2 linked regions of the Macaca fascicularis genome follow. The protein of the gene in region 1 interacts with the protein of each later gene in a pairwise test. Links are inferred from orthologs where the notes say so. Each region holds a gene or a part of one and is shown on either strand. Other genes may lie near its edges.

Region 1 (5,750 bases):
TTAGAGAAGGGACCCCAGCAATTATGTATCCGTAATTCAATATTATGTTCTTGTAAGAGGCTGAACAAACTATATCAGCTTCACGACTCTTTTCTCAGTAAGCTGTTAGCTGTTATTATGACACCTGGAAGACAAGTTTTTTGTCTTTTCTCTGCTCTCATAATGTTCCCTCACTCTTCCCCATTTAACAAATACAGACAAGGCAATATGCTAGACATTGCAGGAGAACTGAATGTTACTGTGGCAAACAGGCCAGCAAACACAAACACAAGAGAAAAAAATATATATTTAGAATAAAACAAAATGCTATGGGAATTCAAGTGAAGGAGGTCTTGAATGATGGCAAAATACAAAAAGGCTTTACGGAAAGGACAGTATTTGACTTGGACTCTTAAGGATGGACAGAATTTCAAACAGTTTGGTGTGTGCAAAAACAGAAGGTAAACCATGAAGGATGGAGGAAATTCAGAAATTGAATGAGATTATTTTATCCAGCCTTAGTTGCTCTCAAGTCCTACTAAGGCATGCATCTTTTCCCCACCATGATCCATCACGATACTTGTTATAACCAGACAGAATTATTGTCTATCAAGTATTTTTGGAATCTATACACTTAAGTGATTTATAAGAAATATGCTTCATAGGTATTTCCATATATTTCAGATTACCATATGGAAAATACCCTTTGAACTGGTATATTTCTAATATAAATTTACCCAAGCCCATTCCAAATCCACCCCATTTTGGGTGACAAACGAAACAAATTGTACCGGGACTTATTTACATTACTCAATGGAAGGAAAAGAACAAAAGCCGAGTTCTGATCCTTGTTTAAATTACCAGGTGAATATGAAGAATTCAAAATATATAATTTACATTTAAAAACATGCACCATACTCAGTATGAGTATATATATTCAATTTAGAATACCCTTGATTAAAAAGTTTCCAGAAAACACTGTATATAACCATAAATTGGTAAATCTCAGGAAAATTTCCTTCATAGCTATTAGCAAGAATACCAAAAGCTGTATTCCTATTCATTCTACATAAGAAGCAACAGTCAAAATTTAAGTTATTCACCTTCCACAGAGGTGATCAAATGCATTTGTATGCATTTAAATATCGAGATTGGTCTTCCATTTTTTGATCTATAGTATACCTACTCCACATAAAGTAAAACTCAGAGCACTGGTGACTTTTTCCCCCAGTCACTCCATTCCCCCAACCCCCAAAAAAGTAATTATCAGTAGGTCAAAATTACAATTTGTTTTGTAAAATACTCAACACATCACAATACTAATATGGCAGTCAGCTTCCCATCTTATGAGCAGTGATGAAACTATCAAAATCACTGAGAAGCAAGTAACCCACTTCCTATTATCAACTGAAAATGTGTACCTACTACACAATGTGTTCAATAGAGATTCCTAAATTACAGGATACATTTAATGTAAAGAAATCCTGAGGAGCTTCTCGTTACTGAAAACCTTGCATTGAAATTTCAAGAATGATCACAGCATCAATATACAACTAATTTTTCGGCTATACAAATAAAAGTCAACACTTGCAATCCTTAGTTCTGACTACTCATGCCTTTTCTAGTTCCCTTCTCATTAGCTTTCTACAGACATTATAAAAGCATTATATTAAACAATTCCACAAATAATGTCCAAGTGATGTGCCAAAGTATGAATACTGGAAACAGGGTGATTTCTTAATAGCCAGTAGCTGCACATGACATAGTATCTTATGACCAGCTTGTTGAGGGACTGGCCCAGCTCCCCCTCTCCAAGTTAACTGCTAGCTCCAGCCATTTCTAAAAAAGTTTAACAGGAAGGGGGAGAGAAGTCCAAAAGGCTATGTGAATCTTCTTATAGCAAAAACTTAAAAAAAAAAAAAATCCCAACCATGTAATATCAAGAGATCACCCATCCGCAGTTCTATAATGGCTGCTTTCCTAAAATTTTGATACACGGATTTTAAAAAATACATAAAAGGTAAAACATCTTTTCCCTACCCTGGACCCCTTACCGCAAAAAGAGTTTATTATTAAATAATGCTCTTCTTCCTGGACTAAAGATCAGTCTCCTTTCTCACATGTTTCAAGTTACTATGAATATTTCCTGTACCCATCACGTGCCGATTCAATATCTCTATTCTGAACTAAGGTACAGGGTGAGGGAGAAAGTCCTCCACATTAATCTGTCTCACTACATCTAACCTGGCGAGTTCAACACCTCAAATTTCAACACCAAGCTGAGTCGCTCCGGCTTCTGTCGAAACAGCTGCGTCCGCAGTGCCCCCCAACCTACTCGGCTTGGCATCCTCAGACAGACCAACCTCTTTTAAGAGGTCCGACTTGAACCGCTCCCGTGCCCAGTCGTTCGGACACCGCTGAAGCCCAACCCGGATTCCTTACACCCGGGACAGCTGCCGCCCTAGGTCCCAAGGCACGGCACGCATCTGGTCTCCCAAACTGGATCCCCGGTTGATACACCCTTTCCCTGGTCCTCGGCTGCCCCCGACGAGCCCTCGGGCAGCAAGGACAGGCCCCCTATATCCCCGCCTCATCCCTAGTCGCCGCAGCAGTACTCAGCCTCGCACCCCGGCACGTTCCGCGCCTCCCGCCAGCCCCACCCCACCGCCTCAGCGGATTGCCTCGCGGCAGGTGAGTCTGGCCAGGGGTCCCCTGGCACCACCGGTTGCTCACCTTACTGAGGACCCCGCAGCGCTCCACAGGCGGCCCAGATTCCGTCTCTGGATCCTCCTCCGAGCCCGACGAGTTCCAGCTCTGATTATCCGACATGGAGGCGCGACAGCCGAGCAGGAGACCGGCCCCCGCTCCCTCAACTGCGCCGGAGGAGGCGCCCAGTCCTCGGGGTGAAGGGTCGGGGGATGGCGAAGCGAAGAGTGCCAGCTCCGCTGTGGGGGGGAGCAGGAGGAGGGACGAAGTCCGCTCGCCGCGCCGCCGCCGCGCCTGACACCGAGCGGAGCGGGGAAGGAGGACGAGCGGTGAAGGAAGCCTACCCTTCCAGCCGTCAGCCGCCGCCGCCGTCGCCGGGACCCCTGCGTTGCGCCCGGTGCTGCCACCCGAACTTAGACCCCTCGATGCCAATTTCAAATAGCGAAGGAAAAGGGAGAAGAAGGGAAGAGAAAATCCGGCCGCTGAGACCCGAGTACACTCACACCTCCGCTACCGCCGCCATCTTGCTGCCTGGCCCACTATTTACCCTCCCCTCCCCTGTCCTTTCCCCTCCCCTTCGTCCTCCCATTCTCCCCTCCTCCTCCCCGCCCCGTCCCCCTCCCGGCGTCTGACGCGACACGCCAAGCGTGCGGGATCCTCCTCCCGCACCCTACCTCCGGCTCTCCCGGATGACGAGGGGTAGAAAAGTAGGAGGAGCGCAGTAAGGAGAGGGCGGGATAGGGATGCCGCTGTGCTGCATTCTGGGAAGGGCGTTGGTTCGTCGCTCGCCCAGCCTCCTGGGAGTTGTAGTCGCGATCCTGAGGTAACGGGTGAGTATCCCGCGCGGGGATCGCTTGTCGCCTTGGGGACTTGTCAGTCGGTGGGTGGGCTTCGTTTGACAGTTGCGTGACCTGCCTCTTGGCCTCGCTTCTATCCTTGCCTTGTGTGTTTATGACGAACCCTCCGGGCTTGCGGGCCAGGACGTGAGAGAGCTTTCTGCTGAAGATGACGGGCCTGCGTTGCAGGGCTGCTTGTCGAAAGCCCGGGAGCGCGTAGCCGCTTCCGCCTCAACCACGGGATGGGGTTTTGTGAGCTCCTAGTGCCAAGGGGGTTTTCTTTCCACCAGACCACCGCTGTAAATCTCGAGGGTCTTACCCATTAGAAGTTAGAATTCACATTTGACGTTTAAAGGAAGAATTTCCTTAGTACCTTCTGACAAGCACGCACTTCGCATTTTTAGATTTCTAGAATTTTCTTTGTGGAAAGTAATTTTGAGGTTGTCAGAGAATAAATAACGTTAGAAAGGTTTTTAAAGTAAAACAAGAATGTCAGATGATAGCCTGGGATTTTCTCTTAGTTGTAAATGAATATCTTACTGAGAACCACGTTAACCATGCCTGCCCCTCAAAGATAGGAAAGTTTGGATATATAGAAACTTTCTCGTATTAGAAATACGAGATTAGGGGATTAGGCAATAGGTGGCTATTTTTAAGACTAGGGTTGAATTAGCAGAAAGACCAAAAGAAGATCTAACAGCTCTTGTCAGTTGTCAAGGATAACTTTGATGGTGAGACCTTTGACTTTGTAGCTTCAGTAATTTCCTCTCGTTAGCTATTTTAATATAGTCGAGTTCCTGATAATTGCCAAGAGTAAAATTTGTTATTAAGCCTTAGAAAGAATACCTTTTTTACTACAAGGATGGGACAATAGGAGCGAAATTTCGAGTCTAAGGGAAAACGCTAGCCGAGTGCCGTGGCTCACGCCTGTAATCCCAGCACTTTGGGAGGCCGAGTTGGGTGGATCACCTGAGGCCGGGAGTTTGAGACCACCCCGTCTCTACTAAAAATACAAAGATTAGCCGAGCAGGGTGGCGGGTGCCTGTAATTCCAGCTCTTTATATCCTGGTTTCAAATCTAGGCTTGATGACCTTTTCCCATATCCCAGTCTCCTATTTTTTACTTCCTCAATGGGGGATTAATTACGATTCTAAATGTTTGGTAGCATGAAGCTAGGTTATCTCTATCGTGGCAGTGGATATTTAAGTAGGCATTGCCAATATGTATCTTGCTTTCTTTTACTTCCTTTTCTGACCATCCACACTCCATTTATATTGATGAATTCTTTTACTAATGTCAATTATTACTGTATTATGCTCATACTGCCATGTCTTATTCTGCAGCTTTGATCCTTAAGGTGACTTAGCATATCTGTCTAAGACTCCTTTATCTGTTGATTTTTACCATTTAAGGTTCCAAAGGCAGCTGTATTTTTGGAAAAGTGGGAGGGAAGAGGTAGATGGGGGGTACTCATTGATACCTTAATGCACTTCACAGCTACTTGAGAATATGTCAGATCCCACAAAAAGTTCTAACATTCGAGAATAAGACAGTGATTTCAGAAATGGAATTTCAAAGGGTGTGTAGGCCACCCTTTTTATTCTGTTTCCTGTTGTACAAATGAGAGCCAGGCTAGGAATGTTTCAAGGAGAAATATTCTTACTATTCAATGAAATTGAAAAATATATTCCCTTATCTTTTACTCATATCTGTTTGGTTTATGGGATAAAAACTTGTTAGGGTAGTTGGTATTTCATAGGCTTCACTATAACATTGAAAAACCTTTTAGTCTAAAAATCACACAGTACAGTACACTGATGAACAGTATTAGTGCCCACTCTTGGCATGTACACATGTTCTTTCTTTCGTTTTTATTTTGCTTAGCTTTTGAATTGCTTTTCCTGTTAGATTGAGAAATTATTTTATTAATATTTTAAAGGCATACTATATAAAGCAGTGTGGTGGTATCTTATGTATCAGTAGAATCATGATAGTTATTTTGTAAACGTGTTTTGCTTCCTGTTTTTTTCTAACCCTTTTATTGTTTCACTTCTATAATTTCAAATCCTTTTCTTCTTAGTCAAATAAGTTGAAAAAATATTTCTATAGAGCATACATGTTGCTATGGTGATAGCTTATGAAAATATAGTTTATCCCTGTTTAAGATCTTTATTAAGATCTTGCTATATGATCATCTGAGATACTATAAAAGTAAAATATAAACCATTT
Region 2 (5,759 bases), on another chromosome or scaffold:
ACTCCCTGGGAGTTGAGAGAGGTCTCGAGGGAACCTCTGCATCGCATCCTAAGACCCGGGAAATGGTACCCACGCCAGATGTAATGAACCCACGGCTCATCAAACCAGGTAGGCAGGAAAGCCTGATGGGTAAGAGCACAGATGTCAGATCAGACCCGTCAGCACTGCCCTGCCACGGGCTGGACGTTGTCCTGAGAAACTTCACATTCCGGGGAGTGGAGACAGATCGTGAATAAGTCAGTGAATCAGGCATTTATAGAGAGTCGGGTGACATGTGCCACGAGGGAGCAACAATGATAGTGTGTGTGGAACGGAGCCAGGGCTCTGGTCAGACCTCTTAAGAGGGGATCACTGAGCTGAGACCTAAGAGATGCTACAGAGCCTGCCATGGAGAGGGGCTTGGGCATGTTACCTCACTTCCCTGGGCCTCAGTTTTCTCACCTGTCAAATGGGTAAGTTATCACACCAACTCCATACGGTTATTGTGAGTGTCTGATGAGTTAATGTGTAAAAAGCAGAGGGTCCTGTCTGTAGGTAGAGCTCAAGCTGAGGTGGTTTGGAGGCAAAGAGTGGGGGACCGTGAGGCCTCCGTGCCAGGCGCTCTCCTAGGCACCAGGACACCACAGTGAGCTAAGGCAGATAAAAATCCCTGCCTGCGTGGAGGTTACTCTTCAGTACACACGGCCTGGACAGCCAAGTTGACATGTTTCTCTTCCTCCAGGCCCACCACACTCAGGGACCCAAAGGAGGAAGGCCAGCCCCAACCTGCTCCGCACAACCCCAGACCCGGTGATCCTTGCCTGCTCATCTCAGGGAAGGAAGCGTCCAGCACTTGCAGTTGGTGCCATCTCCCGACAAGCTGGATTCCCGCAGCATCCCTCCCAACTCCGCTCTGGCTGGAGCCCCCAGCGCTGCACAGTTGGCACCCGGGACTTGTGTGTCATGGTATCTTTACCTGGGTGGATTCCAACATCTCGTGTCTATACAGCCCCCCTACCCAGATCCGGGGGCCCCAAGCCAAGTGCCATCTTGGGCCACTGGGCAGGGGCACAGACAACCAGCAACTAGGCCATCTCCAAGGGAGGCTAAGTGGAGAGATGGAGAGGGAGACGCTGCAGCCTGTTAACACATCAATTTCTGCATGAACTCCCCTGGGGAGCCAGGCGGGCAGAGCTGGAGGAATGAGGGCCTCGAGACAAGTGGAATTTTTTTAAAAGAAATCTTCAGCTATTAAAACCCAGGCTCTCAGGCCACATCGGGCATGCCACGTGGGCCTGGCAGATCATCGGCAGCTGGGACTTGTGTGTCATGGTGGCGAGACAAGGAGGACGAGGCTGAACCCAATAAGCACCAGGATGAGAGGTGCTGTGGAGGGGCCCCCAGGAGCTCAGGCTGCTGAAGTCACAGCATCACCAACCCCACCTCCAAGGGTACCCAGGGCTGGAAACTGCCTGTCAGAACCTCATAGCATTCCTGACCATGCCTAACAGAGCAATAGGAAGAAATATTGGGCTGGAAGGAAGCGAACCCCCCGTTTTCAGGCTGACTTTATGACCAGTCCCCCCTGGCTTGCCCACTGGTATTTGTCCAAGCTTTAGGGAGGGCCAACTATGTGCCGGGCATGGAGCTAGAGGGTCTCTCAACCTGGGCGCTGTTGACAATTGAGGCAGGATGACGGTCTGCAGCAGGGGCCGGCCTGTGCACTGTAGGATACAGAGCAGCTTCCCTGGCCTCTACCCACCCCTTGGGTCACACCTAATGCCAACCCCATCATCGGCCGGGAACTGGACCGTAGTTGCCCACCAAGGGGAGGGACCAGCCAGAGGCTTCCGCCTCCACGAAATCACCAGCACCCCCACAGCCCCCTTCCCTGCACCCACCAGGGCTTCCCGAGCCCCGCTCAGCTCGACACAGAGCTGCTTTCCAACCTTTGCTACTCTTGTCTGGGACATGTTATCAAAAATAATGATTATCATGATAGAAGGCACTAGATCAATCATTGTCCCAGTTAGCCCATTCAGTAAATGGGAAGCTGAGGCTCAGACCTGCTGAGTCATCAGCTGGTAAAGCATGGAACTCCATTACAACCCCTGTTTCCCGAGGGCGGAAGCCCCCACTGCACACTCACAAAACCTGTCGGCCCCAAGGCTCCCCAACCGCTCATCCTTTTTTGCAGAGGGAGAGAACGGGGGAGAAAAGACTAAGGAACATTTTGCCATAAGCCTTCCCCTGCCCCAAGTGCCAGCAAAAACTCAGAAATCCTGGGAACCCTCTCATGGAGAGGGCCTGAGGCTAATGAGGAATAGGAGGGGTAAAACGTTAATGAGCTGCTTACAAAGGCACTCAAGCCAGCAGGGGCATCTGCAGCCCTCCAATTCCTCAGAACCTCCTTCCAGGCTGGAGGCAGGGGACACAGGGGGGACCAGGGGTCCCACAGAAGTGGGGAAGGCGGTTGAGGGACCCACTCCACCCCCAAGTTTGAGATGGGAAAGCCAGTGAGGTCACACAGACATGACTAGGAGGGAACCAGGGATGCCACACCTCCGGGGACCCTTTCTAAAGACCACACCACAAGGCACCCCCATGCTACCTGGTCACTTGACTCTACGGTCTGAAAGCGAGGTCACAGGGGCCATGGGCCAGCTCGGGGCCATCACAGGGGTACATCAACACAGCCCACACACACTCCCACTCCCCAGCCTACCTGGTTTTAGACAACATGAAACCCAGACAGAATGAAGCCCTCAGCACGATGGAAGCCTTCCAAAGACAGAAATTCCATAGCTGTCGCAGAGCCCGCAGTGTCTGGGGACCCACAGGCCAGGCTTTCTCATCCTGCAATGAGGTGTGAGAGGAGGGGAGAACTCCAGACAACTAGGCCACTCTAGCCCAAAGGTCTCAGTCCAAGAGACATCAACTTGCCACAGCGAGGCAAGCGCTTCCCCGCTGCTTTTCCTAGCCTGGCCACCAAAGGCGAACAAGGAATCAGAGGCCTGCTCCTCTCTCTCACACACACACACTCCTTTCATCATTGCCTGGGCCCCACCACGCAGCCCTACCATCCCCACGGACGCAGAGGAAAACTGAGTCCCCAGGAGGCCACGCAGAAAGCGCCAGAGCTGGGAGCCTCTCCACTGCCACCTGGGGCCCACAGCTCAGGAGTCACCGGGGAACAAGGCTTGTGGGGGCACCAAGGAGGCCACCCACACAGGCCACAACCTGACCAGAGAAGCTCGGTTTTTCCTGCAACCCCACCACAAACGCCGGCCCCTGGGCTCCCGCCTGCAGCCCAGGCCCCTCAGGTCGGGAATCAGGGACCAGGGGCTCCACAGTGCACAACCGCTGCCAAGCAGTCACACCCAAGCGCCTGGCCAAGAGAAAGGGACCCATGGTGAGACCTACCTGCTAGGAGGCGAGCCAGAGCCTCTGGAAGACTGAATTCTGATGGCACCTGGCCCAGGTGTGAGCCTTTTAACAGCTGACTCTACGGTCTTGAAAGCGTGGCCGTGGCACCTGGGCCTCTGGTTTTAAATGGCCCAGGGGATGGGGCCTGGTCTGTGCTTGATGGAGCAGTGGTCAGGGGAGGAACAGAAAGTAGCCATCCTTCCTTTCCGCGTGGACCAGCGACAAGACCCCTGGCCTAGCAGTCAGTGGACCCGCCACGAATTTGCTGCAGGACCTCAGAGTCTCAGGCCCCAGAGCCCTATATTTGAAGGCTCGGACTCTCTGGGATGGGGTCATTCATCTCCACCCTGGGTCCTGGGGACTTAGTTATGCTGGACTCCAGGCAGAATTTCCAGCACCTACCATCTCACGGCTCTCCCCAGCCACCAGGAGGCCACGTTTGCTCCCAAGTGGTCTTGTTCTCAGTATCCTGAGTAAGGTGAAGGTTAGGAGTTGGCCTTTTAAAGCCACATTCCTCCAAGAAAGCAGGAGCATCTGGGATCCAGGTGACCTCAGGTGAGCACATGGACCCCTGAGACCTTCCCACCTGAGATGAGGAGAAACCCACGATGTGGCCTCCTTCCCTAGATGCTGGGTGCATTAGAGTTGAGTCATGTGTTAAGAATAGGGCCAGGTGCGGCGGCTTACGCCTGTAATCCCAGCACTTTGGGAGGCCGAGGGGGGAGGACCACCTCAGGTCAGGGGTTCGAGACAAGACTGGCCAAGATGGCGAAACCCCGTCTCTACTAAAAATACAAAAATTAGCTGGGCATGGTGGTGGGCGCCTGTAATCCCAGCTACTAGGGAGGCTGAGGCCAGAGAATCACTTGAACCCAAGAGGCAGCGGTTGCAGTGAGCTAAGATCGCACCACTGCACTCTAGCCTAGGTGAAACAGCGAGACTCAGTCCCAAAAAGAAAACAGAACAAGGTTGGGCCCACATACCCAAAAACCTGCCTTCTCGTGTTCCTTTGGTAATTAATTGTCCCACTTTAAAGGTGAAGCTATGGAGGCCTAGCAAGGTTACCTGGGTGGATCACACAGAGTCTGTGCCAACAAGAGCCCGGCCCAGGGAGACCGCTGCCTGCATCCAGTAAGCAGCCCAGCTCAGTCCCCGGGGGTAGAAGAGAGGGAAGCAGGTAAAGAAGAAACATGCATTTATTAAGTCCCTGCTGCATGCCAGGCACTGCGCTAGGCCCTTTTGCATCCAAGATCTTTCTAAATGCCACAATGGCCAGGCACAATGGCTCATACCTGTAATCCCAGCACTTTGGGAGGCCGGGAGGAATGCTTGAGCCCAGGAGTTTGAGACCAGCCTGGGCAACATAGCAAGACTTTGTCTCTACCAAAAAAGAAAAAAAAGATTTAAGCCACACTGACCCCCATCCCCGAGTTTGCATACGGTAGCTCCTCTTTCCTCCCTCTGCAGTGAAGCACCCACCGCCACCAGCCTGGCACATTCTGGGCCCAGACAGGGATAGGGGCCTGGTTCCCTCCAGTAAGGACTTGTTCTACCTTATTTAAAAGTCACTGCTGCACATAATTAGAGGCACTAACCCCTCGGATCCATCTTTCTCCTCAGATCGGTTTTATAGCCAGTAATAACTCTCGTAAATTCCTCAACAGATGGAAATTTTATTTGACTAATCATGGCCGCTTGACTTGCTGGGGCCCAGCAGCTCGGGGCTTGGACAGGCAAGATGCCAGTTGGGGTGATTGTCAGGGGGTTGGGCAAAGTGCCCAGAACCCAAGGCCACCTTGGCCACCCACTCCTCTGAGGGATGCCATAAGAAGGCATCAGAAAGTGCCTGGCACTGCACAGCAGTGGGCAGCTGTGCCCCACCTTCTGAGTCCAGAAATGTCTCTGAGCAGGGCACCAAGACCCTTTGCCACCCCCCTGGGCTCTTGGTCTGTGAACACATAATGGCTAGCACCAGGGAGAAGCTAGGACATCCTGCCTGAAACACCTAAAAATGGCAGTCCTGTTGGCTGCCACCACTGCGCATCTGCTCCATGCCAGCCCCATGCCAAGTACCCCTCATGCATTATCCCACTCAGTCCTGGCAACGATCCCATGCACGCCTGTGAAAAATCCATTTCACAGATTAGGAAAAAGGCGATGGGGCAAAGTCCCACACCGAGTCACCAGTTTGAGCTGCCACCCTCATCTGGGGAATTGAAGACTGGCATCTCCCCTCCTATTCACTCCTTCTAAGATCCACATCGAATTCATCAGTGTTACTTAAAACAAAACAGACCCACAAAACTTCCAGCAGCTCCTCGGCACCCTCTAGACCAAGTGAAAGCCCTGTGGTC

Evidence for each region. The genes of interacting proteins can lie anywhere in the genome.
Region 2: the proteins of CERT1 (region 1) and ACTL8 interact in binary tests that used the Homo sapiens proteins (3 or more experiments, as listed by UniProt). The two-hybrid records come from large-scale screens. The link is inferred for Macaca fascicularis from reciprocal best matches to the Homo sapiens genes CERT1 and ACTL8.

The regions. Positions count from the first base shown.
Region 1 is NC_088380.1:79,525,298-79,531,047, forward strand, and holds the start of CERT1 (ceramide transfer protein), read right to left. Parts: upstream 3,448-5,750; 5' UTR 3,446-3,447; coding exon 3,360-3,445; intron 3,219-3,359; exon of another isoform or gene 3,107-3,218; coding exon 2,713-3,106; intron 1-2,712. UniProt on the Homo sapiens protein: Shelters ceramides and diacylglycerol lipids inside its START domain and mediates the intracellular trafficking of ceramides and diacylglycerol lipids in a non-vesicular manner.
Region 2 is NC_088375.1:217,345,848-217,351,606, forward strand, and holds the start of ACTL8 (actin-like protein 8), read right to left. Parts: upstream 3,447-5,759; 5' UTR 3,403-3,446; intron 1-3,402.